Linked DNA regions of Saccharomyces cerevisiae S288C. The protein of the gene in region 2 purifies or fractionates together with the protein of the main gene of each other region. This does not show direct contact. Each region holds a gene or a part of one and is shown on either strand. Other genes may lie near its edges. The genes, in order: RPT5 and SCL1.

Evidence for each region.
Region 1: the proteins of SCL1 (region 2) and RPT5 purify together in Saccharomyces cerevisiae (affinity purification with mass spectrometry; 3 studies listed by BioGRID, with this or other methods). This does not show direct contact.

What each region holds. Positions count from the first base shown.
Region 1 is NC_001147.6:543,104-550,403, reverse strand, and holds RPT5 (proteasome regulatory particle base subunit RPT5), read right to left. Parts: upstream 5,376-7,300; coding exon 4,071-5,375; downstream 1-4,070. Other genes in the region: protein kinase RIO1, read left to right, coding at 158-1,612; RTC5 (Rtc5p), read right to left, coding at 1,844-3,547; DNA-directed RNA polymerase III core subunit RPO31, read left to right, coding at 6,259-7,300. UniProt on the Saccharomyces cerevisiae protein: The 26S proteasome is involved in the ATP-dependent degradation of ubiquitinated proteins. The regulatory (or ATPase) complex confers ATP dependency and substrate specificity to the 26S complex.
Region 2 is NC_001139.9:470,419-476,939, reverse strand, and holds SCL1 (proteasome core particle subunit alpha 1), read left to right. Parts: upstream 1-1,692; coding exon 1,693-2,451; downstream 2,452-6,521. Other genes in the region: 3-isopropylmalate dehydratase LEU1, read left to right, coding at 1-627; 2-hydroxy-palmitic acid dioxygenase MPO1, read right to left, coding at 871-1,395; ERG4 (delta(24(24(1)))-sterol reductase), read right to left, coding at 2,664-4,085; drug-responsive transcription factor PDR1, read left to right, coding at 4,642-6,521.

The DNA.
Region 1 (7,300 bases), on a different chromosome or scaffold from region 2:
TGAGTAGTTGCGGGGACATTGGCGCGCGCAGAAAGAGTGAAAAATTTTATAGTGGAATATAGAAATTGAGATGAGATGAGATACTAAGACTAAAAATAATAGTAAAAAGAAGTTAAAACAGATTTAGAGATTCAAACTCCGTTATTTTTAGAAGGTCATGTCCTTGGAAGATAAATTTGATTCATTGTCTGTGTCGCAAGGTGCCTCGGACCATATTAATAATCAGCTCTTAGAGAAGTATAGTCACAAAATAAAAACTGATGAATTATCATTCAGCAGAGCGAAAACATCAAAGGATAAAGCAAATAGGGCGACTGTGGAAAATGTCTTAGATCCGAGAACTATGAGATTTTTGAAGTCTATGGTCACCAGAGGTGTGATTGCAGATTTGAACGGTTGCTTAAGTACTGGGAAAGAAGCTAATGTTTACCACGCTTTTGCAGGTACCGGTAAGGCACCCGTAATAGATGAGGAAACAGGCCAGTATGAAGTTTTAGAGACAGACGGATCCCGTGCAGAATATGCCATTAAGATTTATAAGACCTCTATCCTAGTCTTCAAAGATCGTGAAAGATATGTTGATGGTGAATTTAGATTTAGAAATTCCAGATCTCAACATAATCCAAGGAAAATGATTAAAATTTGGGCTGAAAAGGAATTTAGGAACCTGAAAAGAATTTATCAAAGTGGCGTCATTCCAGCTCCTAAGCCAATAGAAGTTAAGAACAACGTCTTAGTTATGGAATTTTTAAGCCGAGGTAATGGATTTGCCTCACCTAAATTAAAAGATTATCCGTACAAGAATCGTGATGAAATTTTCCATTATTATCACACAATGGTGGCATATATGAGATTGCTGTACCAAGTTTGTCGCCTGGTTCATGCCGATTTGTCAGAGTATAACACCATAGTTCATGATGATAAACTATATATGATCGATGTTTCCCAAAGTGTGGAACCTGAACATCCAATGAGTTTAGATTTTTTAAGGATGGATATCAAAAACGTTAACCTTTATTTCGAGAAGATGGGTATAAGTATTTTCCCTGAAAGGGTTATTTTTCAATTTGTCATATCAGAAACTTTGGAGAAATTTAAAGGTGATTATAACAATATTAGCGCCTTGGTTGCATACATTGCTAGTAATCTACCAATAAAATCTACAGAACAAGATGAGGCAGAAGATGAAATATTCAGATCGCTGCATTTAGTTAGATCATTGGGTGGATTAGAGGAAAGAGATTTTGATAGGTATACTGATGGTAAGTTTGACTTACTGAAAAGCTTGATTGCCCATGATAATGAACGCAATTTTGCTGCTTCTGAGCAATTTGAATTTGATAACGCTGACCACGAATGTAGTTCTGGCACAGAGGAATTCTCAGATGATGAAGAAGACGGCTCAAGCGGATCTGAAGAAGATGACGAGGAGGAGGGCGAGTACTATGACGATGATGAACCAAAAGTTTTAAAGGGGAAGAAACATGAGGACAAGGATTTAAAAAAATTGCGCAAGCAGGAAGCTAAAGATGCAAAAAGAGAAAAAAGGAAAACAAAAGTCAAGAAGCACATCAAGAAAAAATTGGTGAAAAAAACGAAATCAAAGAAATAATGCGGCCCTGTGAAAATACATTTGGGAATCGTTGTTTGGAGTCGAAGAACAGAAAGTAGGTCAGCAATTTAACGAAGAAAGTTCAAGACTAAAAGTGTAATATCAGTATCAAAAGTTTGGTACTTTTCATACAAGTGCAATAAATATTAAAATAAACAATAGCCTTATTTAGTGGTCTTGATTTTTAGTGAAATCAATCCCAATAACTAAAAACAGCAAAAAAGGCAGGCATCACATTGAACCGCCACCTTGATGTTGGCCAACTAAACCTGCCATTTCCAGTAAGGCACGGTCTTCTCCCAAGCTTCTCAGGTTAATTTGCTGTCTTCTTTTAGATTCTGCTTCTTCCCATTCCAACTGTTTGATTTGCTCTTCTAGTTCTTTCTCACCACCACAGCCCCATACCTCAACATCTTGAATCAAAAAATGCAATTCATAAGGGGAATTTTCCTCCTTTCTTTCCATCGACAATAAACCAGGGTCTAATGAACCTCCGTAACCAGTATTTCTAAACACAGCAAATTCTAATGTGCTGTCAAAAGTAAGCGACACGTTCCCTGGTATGTATCTCTTGGATGCTGGTTTTATTAATGGTTGTTTATCCCCGATTCCAATTCCGCCACCAATTGTATTGAAATAGATCGTGCCTTTTTGGTTGACTTTATAAATATCCTGCCTGGGTGATATTTCTATTATTCTCGTATTCAGATCGCCAAAATAATCTTTATTTGTTACTTTCCACGGATCGTCTATGTACACAGCGAAAGTAGTTTTCCTTTTATTCAAATGCGATGCATCCATCATTTGATCTGACTCTTTCAATTTAGGAAATTCTTCAAGAAAATGGCGGTATCTTGGATTCTTCTCAGCTGCGTATTCTTCAGAATTTGTTATCCTCATTCCGCTAACAACTAAAATCGAAGGCGCCATCCATTTGAACACCTTTGCTTGCAAAGACCTCATTGAGAAGCCACTTTTCCTGCCGATGTATAAACTTTGTAGCTTATGAATAAATAATTCCTTTGGTAGTCCCGTCGATAACTGTGCCAACAGTGCTGGAGTCATAACTTTAGAATCCTGAATAGACGATAAGTTTGTGTCATGATCAACTAAATCGTGCTGCAAATAAAAAAAATGCTCCATTAAATTCTCTAATGGTTTTAATAGATTGGGCATTACAGTTCTTATTGCAGTTGAAAATTGTTGAAACGTTATGGAATGTGATTCTATATCGCCCACCACGTCTGGATTCATAGTTCTAAGGAGATTGAGTGCTGAGACTTTGAAATTGCCCCATTGATCATGAGTCTCTGTATTATCCAATTTAGAATTGGTGGTTGGACAATCAACTGTTAAAATTAAAAGCCAAGTTAAAAACTGAAGCATAAAATCAGCAGGAATGCACAGCATTTCTGTATCAACATCATCAAACCCAGTTATTATTTGTTTTATAGTCAACTCCTTGTTTCCGTCGTTTTCACTTTCTTCGGAGAGTTCTTCTTTGTCAGTTTTCTGAAGTGATAAAGAGATAAACAGCAGTTTTAGTTGATCATAGGACTTGGTTTTCAAGAATTTGGCACATCGTGCCCTGTTTAACAACAAAATGCATTTTAATAACCCATATCCCGTAATTGGTTCGTAAGATGATTTCATTAATGGGAAGTTGCTCAAAACCCTCAACATGTTAGTCACTATCCCAACAATCATGGCATGATTCTGCGGAAAATAAAGTGAGTTGCATAAAGCTTTGTGAGAAATTGGAGTGTTTAGATCTTCAATTTGCAAATTTCCCTTAAAACTGACTAATTCTGGAATAGTGACCTGTTGCTGTGCTTTGTTATTGAAATATGCCAAAATATCTTTGCTATTTGTGAATTTTTTTGAGTGGGAAGAACCCTCTTCGTTACTGGAACTGATTGAAGAAGACTGTCCCATAATACTACAACAAATATTACCTGGTCCGGTTGCTTTAGTAGTACTCCTTCAGTCTGCAAGCCTGTTTAAATTTAATGCTTTGGTAAGATTAATCAATCGTTATATGAAAAGTAGAATGGTGCCGATATCTTACTTCTACCTGTTTTACTCCCTTTCTGCAGCCTATTAATATGTCACTAAATCATCTACAGATGTGTGCTGTATATGGAGCTCTGCAAGTTAAATACTCAAAGCACCCGTAGCCGTCGATGCGTCTTGTTCTCCTACGCTTTTCTCTTTCCTTCAATGCATCCTTGAAAATTGCGAAAGTGCCAACGAAAAAGAAAAATACAGTAAAAAAAAAAGTCAAACGCCAATGAATATATACCTGTTGCTACGCTTTCGGTTTCATCAAATAATAAGTAGTATACAATTAGCCATATACAGTATCAATAATAAGGAAGTTACGCGACTTTAAATAAAAGGATTGTTCTAATATGTAGATATGTGAATGGCGGCTTGATAAATCAAAATATTATTATTTTTATGCATAAAAGGATACCGATTTCGATTTTCTTGCTTGAACTTCACTTATACCCTCAACGAAATCTTCGTGTTTAACGGAAGATTGCCCATTCCTTAAGGCAATCATACCTGCCTCCACAGTTACCGCCTTTAACTGGGCACCATTAAACTCATCAGTAGACCTGGCAAGTTCTTGCCAGTTAATATCATCATCAGTGGTCATTTTTCTTGAATGAATTTGTAAAATTTGAGCTCTCGAGTCTTCGGATGGGAGTGGGAATTCAATTTTTCTATCCAATCTTCCTGATCTTAACAAAGCAGGATCTAAAACATCAACTCTATTGGTAGCCGCCAAGACTTTGACACGATCATCGGAGCTAAAGCCATCCAATTGATTCAATAATTCCAGCATGGTTCTTTGCACTTCCCTATCACCGGATTTTTCAGAATCAAATCTCTTAGTACCAATGGCATCCAATTCGTCAATGAAAATAATAGTTGGTGCCTTTTCCTTGGCCAGTGCAAAAGCATCGCGGACTAGTTTAGCACCTTCACCGATATACATTTGTACCAATTGAGGTGCTGCCAGCTTCAAAAAAGTAGCATTCGTCTGAGCCGCGCAAGCACGAGCTAATAAAGTTTTACCTGTACCCGGAGGCCCGTACATTAGGGCACCCTTGGGCGCTCTAATTCCCATATCTTTGAATTTATCTGCACGTTTCATAGGTAACACAATGGCCTCCACCAGCTCTTCAATCTGTTTATCCAACCCACCCACGTCCGAGTAAGTTTCTGTGGGTTTTTCATCTACCTCCATAGCTTTTACACGAGAATCAAATTCAGAGGGTAAAGTATCCAAAATCAAATACGAGTCTTTATTCACACCTACCAGGTCATTTGGCTTAAGTTTATCAGGATCTACTAAACCGACCATGGGCAAGAAAACAGTCTGTCTAGAAGAAGTCTTGACTACAGCAGCTTTGCCAACAGCGGTGTTATCTAAGTTGACATTACCACCTTGTGTAGTAGATTCACTATTTTCTTTGTCTTCAATCTCATTCATATCCATGACCTCGACAACGTTAGCCACAAGGTACGGTAACTGTCTATTATTCTTGATTTTTTCCTTATTGTCCTTAATCTTCTCGAGCATAACGTTGTTTTCATGGGACAGTCTTTGCAATTCAGATCTAAAAATACGAATTTCATTGTCCAAGAGCTTGGCTCTTGTTTGAAGCTCCTGCGTCGAAAGATTCAAAATCTCTTGATCTAATTCATCGTCTCCTGGTAAAGTTTGAGCATCCAATTCTTCCAAGGTGGCCATCTTAAACTAAAATCAAAACTTTCCAATTTGTTCTCACCTCTATAATGCACAAATAAGTCACTCGTATAAACGTTTTAGACAAACTCCTGATGTGCCCTTTTTACCCAAGAGTTCATTAATGGGGTCCTTTTCAGTAAAATATACATTAATTCATTTTTGCCACCACATATTGGCCGGGTAACTACATGATTAAACCATTGCTAATAAAAGGAATTCGCCAAGGCTGCCGACCAACAACCATTACTGACGTTATTTTTTTACGAACATACTCACTAGGTAAACCAGGTATATATATTAAACATAGTATAAAGTATCAGCCACTAATTGCACTCGTCTCTTTTGGGCTTTCGTCTTTTTTAAATTTTTTTTTCTCTATTACAGTAACTAATCGCAAACAAATCAGGCATCTGTGTATATTCGTTGGAATCTCAATGCCAACGGCATCACATTGCAGAAAGTAGAAGCTGCAAAATACATACTACTGATATATAGCATGCTTATTATCATCACTATATACGTGAATATCGTGTTTCACGAAATTTGCCATTTTTTTTGCAAAATTATTGCACAGGCTCTTCTGGCAGAACTCATCACCAGATCAAATAACAGAAGAGGTTAAACTTGCCCTTTTACTATAGCTTACCTTACTATTCTTTGCATATATTAATCGTACAATATCGTTGATTTGGGGAAGATTGCTTAGTTTGTTGTGGCTAGAGTTTTTGTTGATTGCAGACAGTATACTAGATCATTTTTTTCTTTTCCATCTGCACTAAATTTTTAAACTCATCACTGGTTGGTTACATAGTTGTTCCTTTATTGTGTTCAATACTATCTGCTTTCTCCAAAACTGTAAGCGAGTCCCGCAATTTCGAAGAATTCGATGAAGGAAGTCGTTGTAAGTGAAACCCCGAAAAGGATTAAAGGGCTGGAATTTAGCGCTTTAAGCGCTGCCGATATTGTCGCCCAGTCTGAAGTGGAAGTGTCTACAAGAGATCTCTTCGATTTAGAAAAAGATCGTGCTCCTAAGGCGAACGGTGCTTTAGACCCCAAGATGGGTGTCTCTTCCTCCAGTCTTGAATGTGCAACCTGTCACGGCAACTTGGCATCGTGTCATGGCCATTTTGGTCACTTAAAATTAGCTTTGCCTGTTTTCCACATTGGGTACTTCAAAGCCACCATTCAAATACTGCAAGGTATCTGTAAAAACTGTTCTGCCATATTGTTATCAGAAACAGATAAAAGACAATTTTTGCATGAACTTCGTCGTCCAGGCGTAGATAATTTAAGACGTATGGGTATATTGAAGAAGATTTTGGACCAATGTAAAAAGCAAAGAAGGTGTCTGCATTGTGGTGCTCTTAATGGTGTCGTGAAAAAAGCCGCTGCTGGTGCTGGTTCAGCCGCGTTGAAGATTATCCATGATACATTTCGTTGGGTAGGTAAAAAGTCCGCTCCTGAAAAGGATATTTGGGTGGGAGAATGGAAGGAAGTTCTTGCTCATAATCCAGAACTAGAGCGTTATGTGAAACGTTGTATGGATGATTTAAATCCACTGAAAACTTTAAATCTTTTCAAGCAAATTAAGTCTGCAGATTGTGAGCTGCTTGGTATAGATGCAACAGTTCCCTCTGGTAGACCAGAGACTTACATATGGAGATATTTACCCGCACCTCCGGTTTGTATAAGGCCTTCCGTTATGATGCAAGACTCTCCAGCATCTAACGAAGATGACTTGACAGTAAAGCTTACGGAAATAGTTTGGACTTCGTCTTTAATCAAAGCCGGTCTTGACAAGGGTATTTCCATTAACAATATGATGGAACATTGGGATTACTTACAACTGACTGTTGCAATGTACATCAACTCAGACTCAGTCAATCCTGCGATGCTACCAGGTTCATCCAATGGCGGCGGAAAAGTGA
Region 2 (6,521 bases):
CAATTTTTAAAGACAATTAAGAGAACGGGTTTGAAAAAAGGGTTGTTTTATGAATGGCGTTTCCGTAAAGACGATCAAGGTAAGGATCAAGAAACCGATTTTGTATTAAATGTTGAACCTTGGAGGGAAGCTGAAATATTGGTTGTTACTGGTGACAATTTCGGATGTGGTTCTTCCAGAGAACACGCACCATGGGCTCTAAAAGACTTTGGTATAAAATCCATCATTGCACCTTCTTACGGTGATATTTTCTACAACAACTCTTTCAAGAACGGCTTATTACCTATTAGATTGGATCAACAAATAATCATTGACAAATTGATCCCTATTGCTAATAAGGGTGGTAAGCTCTGCGTCGATTTACCAAATCAAAAAATTTTGGATTCCGATGGCAATGTGCTCGTTGATCATTTTGAAATAGAACCTTTCAGAAAGCACTGCCTAGTTAACGGTCTTGATGATATTGGTATTACATTGCAAAAGGAAGAATACATTTCCAGATACGAAGCTTTGAGAAGAGAGAAATACTCATTCTTGGAAGGTGGATCAAAATTATTAAAATTTGACAACGTTCCAAAAAGAAAAGCTGTTACAACTACTTTCGATAAAGTCCACCAGGATTGGTAGACAGTGAAAAACAACGTCCAAACCTGGCGTCAATAACATGTGTCTCAGCGACAAGCACACCATCCTTTTCTAAAACCAAACTACTTATTTATTATTAATACGTAATCTAACGTACTCACTAATTATTTATTTATTTGACTATAACATCATTGATGAAGTTTATAATGCTAGCCCTTGTTAATGCATGCAGGTTTTGTGAATGCTACAGAGGAACATGTACTTTAAATGCAACATTATCCCTCTTTATTGTCTTTGCATCCGCAAATTTCTTTGCTTAATTTCAAGATCATGTTCGAGAGTTGCCTTTAATCTAGGCATGAAACCCAATTTGAAAAGGAACTCGAACATTATAAAATATGGTGCCAGCACCAAGCTCTGAACTAGATTGTCAATTAACGCTGGCCTCCTTTTCTCAAAGACACCATGGCCAACAAATTGGAAAATCCAACCAATAGTAAACAAACCCAGTTCCTGCTTAAATGTTAAATCAACCCTGTGATCGATGAGTGCAAGATTTAACAAAAGCAAGAGAACTCCTGCTAATAGCCCTGTGGGTAAATACAGAAGACAATAAAATATGGAAAATAAAACGCTTAGCACAGCAGTCAATGAAATACTCTGATATATTTTGACTCTGTGGAGCATACAGCTACCACTAAATAGGATTGTGGGGACAAATATGGAATGGATCAAAACGTTCTTAGGATTGTGGTGGTAAAACTTGTAAAATCCAAGCTGAGATCTTAAATCCAGCAAACCTTCGCCCATATTTATTCTTTTATAACAGAAGAAGAGACTATATTCTCAAAACCTCGTATATTTATATACATATCCTCCAAACAAACTCCCAAGTTTCACTTTCCTGGATTTACCTTGGCATTCCTTTTCCCCATCCTCTTATAATGGTAATCGCGATCCTTAATTATGATATCACAATAGACGAAGGGCACACACCAATTTGCCACCGTAAGGATAGAGTAAGTTAAATGGCTAACTCATTATAATCTTCATGCTAAATCATATAAGGGCAGAGACGAAGCAAAGCGAAAAAAACATATTACAATCATGTCGGGTGCTGCTGCTGCATCTGCTGCTGGTTATGACAGGCACATCACTATCTTTTCCCCCGAGGGTCGTTTATATCAAGTAGAATATGCCTTTAAAGCGACTAATCAAACTAACATAAACTCACTAGCGGTCAGAGGTAAAGATTGTACAGTGGTGATAAGTCAGAAAAAGGTCCCTGATAAACTGTTGGATCCAACTACTGTTTCGTATATTTTTTGTATTTCAAGAACAATTGGTATGGTAGTGAACGGACCAATACCGGATGCAAGAAATGCGGCCCTAAGAGCCAAGGCTGAGGCTGCAGAATTCCGTTATAAATATGGTTATGATATGCCATGCGATGTATTGGCTAAGAGAATGGCTAACCTTTCCCAAATCTATACTCAAAGAGCATATATGAGACCATTAGGTGTTATACTCACATTTGTTTCGGTAGATGAAGAATTGGGTCCCTCCATTTACAAAACTGACCCTGCAGGTTATTACGTTGGCTACAAAGCTACTGCGACAGGACCAAAACAACAGGAGATCACAACAAACTTAGAAAACCATTTCAAAAAGAGTAAAATCGACCATATTAATGAAGAATCATGGGAGAAGGTGGTAGAATTTGCTATTACTCATATGATTGACGCACTGGGTACCGAATTTTCAAAGAATGACTTGGAAGTCGGTGTCGCTACAAAGGACAAATTCTTTACCTTGAGTGCTGAGAACATCGAAGAAAGGCTAGTAGCAATTGCTGAACAAGATTAACATACTTCCTGCCACAACATAATGTGAAATCACACGCGTCAACACTCAATATATGTATGGACACGTTTCATTTAGGATTTATTTTATAGGAAAAAGTAGATCAAGTAATAGAAAATCGAATCTTTTCAAGCCCTTTTGTCGCGTAAATACATCAATACTTTTATATACAAACTGTAAAATAAGTTAATGAAGTGGATAGAAAAAGAAAATAACTAGAAAACATAAGGAATAAAGACGTAAGGGCAATGTTTACAATACTCATCCCAATCTTTTCCGTACTTTCTCTTACATTTTGCTTGGTCTCTGAAGGCTCTGTGAATCAGGACAACAAGGAAGAATACTGGGAAAAACCATGGGAACACCGAGTTGAACCCGCAAGACAAGGCCCAAACGAGAGATTGAGTCCAATCGGCAGTGTAGTGAATTTTTCTAGCCAAAGTGTACCAACCATCAATCAATAGGTACGATCCATTGGAGGTAACCATATACTTTGGATTCTTCAAAATTTGGTATGGCAAAAATGGGAAAGTCTTCCTACCTGTCTTGTCACCAGACATTTGCTTTCTGAAGGCATTTTTCTGAGCATTTGCCGTGTCAAAGAAGTAGTAGGCGCATAATAGAACAACGTACAGCGAAACATTGTACAGTGTAGACCAGTGATATTCAGATGGGTCATGGTAGTACAAATACAACGTACAATGACAGTAAGTGTATGGGACACCGGCAATATTCCAGAAGATCAGCATAAATCCAAACTTTTCGTAAGCCATGTCCCAGGTTGGAACAATCAATTCTTCACCTTTAGCACATGCGTTCGCGTACAACCAATGAGCTAACATGACAACCCCCAATTGTGGTGTCACATAGCCGTAAGTCTCCCACTGCTTCAAACAGGCACCCAAAGTGATAAAGTAAAGGGTGAACCAAGGTAATCTAACCTCGAAAAACATCTTCAAGTCCAAAATCCCCCACCTAGGGTTTAGTGGAGCTCCCATGAAGAAATCATATAGATGGTTTCCTGTCATTCTATGATAGTCATGTGAGATAAATAAAGTCCATAAGTACAATATGATGGAGAAGGCAAACCCTGAAATAATGGCACATGTCATGATCCTCCCAAAACGGTCAATAATGACATACAATCTAAAAAGATTGGTAAAGTGCAAAACCAAGACCAAAGTGGTAGTTACATACAAGGTCCACATGGCATTACAAAAGTAAGGCAATTGTTTTCCCTTCAAATGAGACAATGGTTGACCTTTTGTCCAAATCCCGGGCAACGTATAGTAGAAAATGATCTGAAACACCCAAAATGTTAAGAAAATAGTCCAGTCATACTTTTCTGGGATACCGTTCTCCAAGACTAACTGGTATAGGTGCTTGATAAAGTGCATCCACGATTCACCAGCCTTGGGTAGGGCAACCTTACCGTGATAAAATTCCGCACAAATCCACATATAGTACATTAGCAGTGGAAACCCGATCAGCATACCAATAACACCAGTAGTCCCACCAAACTCATATTCGATTTCATTTGGCTTCAGCCATTTACCCTGAGGCAGGAAATTAACCGGTTGCTTGGACTTTTTCTCCTCTCCCTGCACCTGCAGCTTCTCACTATTATCCTTTGCCATAGCGATGCTAATCTATGTACACTACGTAAATATCCGTATCTGCCTATCTACATAACTGAACTACATTCCTACGTTATTACCACTGTTTGGTAATTTTTCCTCGAGGATATATAATTCTGCTTTTCCATAGTAACGCCAAACGATCGCGTAATACCGGCAATTACGGGATGCACGAAAATAGCGCCAAGGAACGAAAAAGAAATGAGTCTCGTTTAGTTATTAAACGAGAAGAAACGAGCCCTGATTTACATTCTCAGGGTCCAATAGGGCTTTGTTGGAAACAGACGCATACCCTAAATGGAGTTTCTTTTCTTGTTCAAGACCTAATGAGTGGCAATAAGAGGCGCTAATTAAAGCTCTTCAAAACAACCTTATTCGCCTATTACACATGATCAGCCACTCTTTCATTGTCAACAATAGCATGATAGCAGGACCATAGCGGCCATATAGACATTACCAGGAGTGAGTTTTGGCTAAAAAAAGACAATTTGCACATCACTTGCTAACTATTCATCTCAGCCAAGAATATACAGAAAAGAATCCAAGAAACTGGAAGATGCGAGGCTTGACACCTAAGAACGGTGTACATATTGAGACGGGTCCGGATACAGAATCGTCCGCGGACTCCAGCAACTTTTCTACAGGTTTCAGCGGCAAGATTCGTAAGCCAAGGTCGAAAGTAAGTAAAGCGTGCGATAACTGTAGAAAAAGAAAGATAAAATGTAATGGGAAGTTTCCCTGCGCAAGCTGTGAGATATATTCATGTGAGTGCACGTTCAGCACTAGACAAGGTGGCGCTCGAATAAAAAACCTTCACAAGACGAGTTTGGAAGGTACAACCGTACAAGTCAAAGAGGAAACAGATTCCAGTTCGACTTCTTTTTCTAATCCTCAGCGATGTACAGACGGGCCATGCGCAGTGGAACAACCAACGAAATTTTTTGAGAATTTCAAGCTAGGTGGTCGTAGTAGTGGTGATAATAGCGGAAGTGATGGGAAGAATGACGACGATGTGAATAGAAACGGTTTTTATGAAGACGATAGCGAATCACAGGCAACTTTGACATCTCTACAAACCACTCTGAAAAATTTGAAGGAGATGGCTCATTTAGGTACACATGTAACCTCAGCCATCGAGAGCATTGAACTTCAGATAAGTGACTTGCTTAAGCGATGGGAACCCAAAGTGAGGACCAAAGAATTAGCAACAACGAAATTTTACCCTAATAAATCAATAGAAACTCAATTGATGAAAAACAAATACTGTGATGTGGTACATTTGACAAGATATGCCGCTTGGTCAAACAATAAGAAGGACCAAGATACTTCTAGTCAACCTTTGATCGACGAAATCTTTGGTTTGTACTCTCCTTTCCAATTTTTGTCACTTCAAGGTATTGGTAAATGTTTCCAAAATTATAGATCCAAATCCAAATGCGAGATTTTTCCCAGGACCGCCAAGGAAACCATATACATCATGTTAAGGTTTTTCGACGTTTGTTTTCATCACATCAACCAAGGCTGTGTCTCCATAGCTAATCCCCTGGAAAACTACCTACAGAAAATGAATCTTTTACCTTCAACCCCATCTTCGATATCATCTGCAGGGAGCCCGAATACAGCACACACAAAATCGCATGTTGCGTTAGTGATAAATCACTTACCGCAGCCCTTTGTGAGAAATATAACCGGAATAAGTAATTCTGAGCTACTAAGCGAAATGAATAATGATATCAGCATGTTTGGCATTTTATTGAAGATGTTGGATATGCATAAAAATTCCTACCAGAACTTCCTAATGGAAATCACATCTAACCCCTCCGTGGCTAAAAACACGCAGTCAATTGATGTCTTGCAGGAATTCATCCATTATTGTCAAGCTGGAGAGGCGCTAATCGCCTTATGTTACAGCTATTATAATTCTACATTATACAACTACGTGGACTTCACATGCGACATAACGCATTTAGAGCAACTTCTATACTTTTTGGATCTGCTATTTTGGCTATCGGAAATATACGGTTTTGAAAAAGTCTTGAACGTAGCAGTTCATTTTGTTTCAAGAGTTGGTTTATCAAGGTGGGAATTTTACGTGGGTCTTGATGAAAACTTTGCTGAAAGAAGAAGAAATCTCTGGTGGAAAGCTTTCTATTTCGAGAAAACTTTAGCCTCTAAACTTGGCTATCCTTCGAACATTGATGACTCCAAAATCAATTGTTTATTACCTAAGAATTTTCGAGATGTTGGGTTCTTGGATAATAGAGATTTTATCGAGAACGTCCACTTAGTTCGCAGGAGCGAAGCTTTTGACAACATGTGCATATCCGACTTAAAATACTATGGCGAATTAGCTGTCTTACAAATAGTCAGCCATTTCTCATCATCTGTTTTATTCAATGAAAAATTCACGTCAATTAGGAATACATCAAAACCATC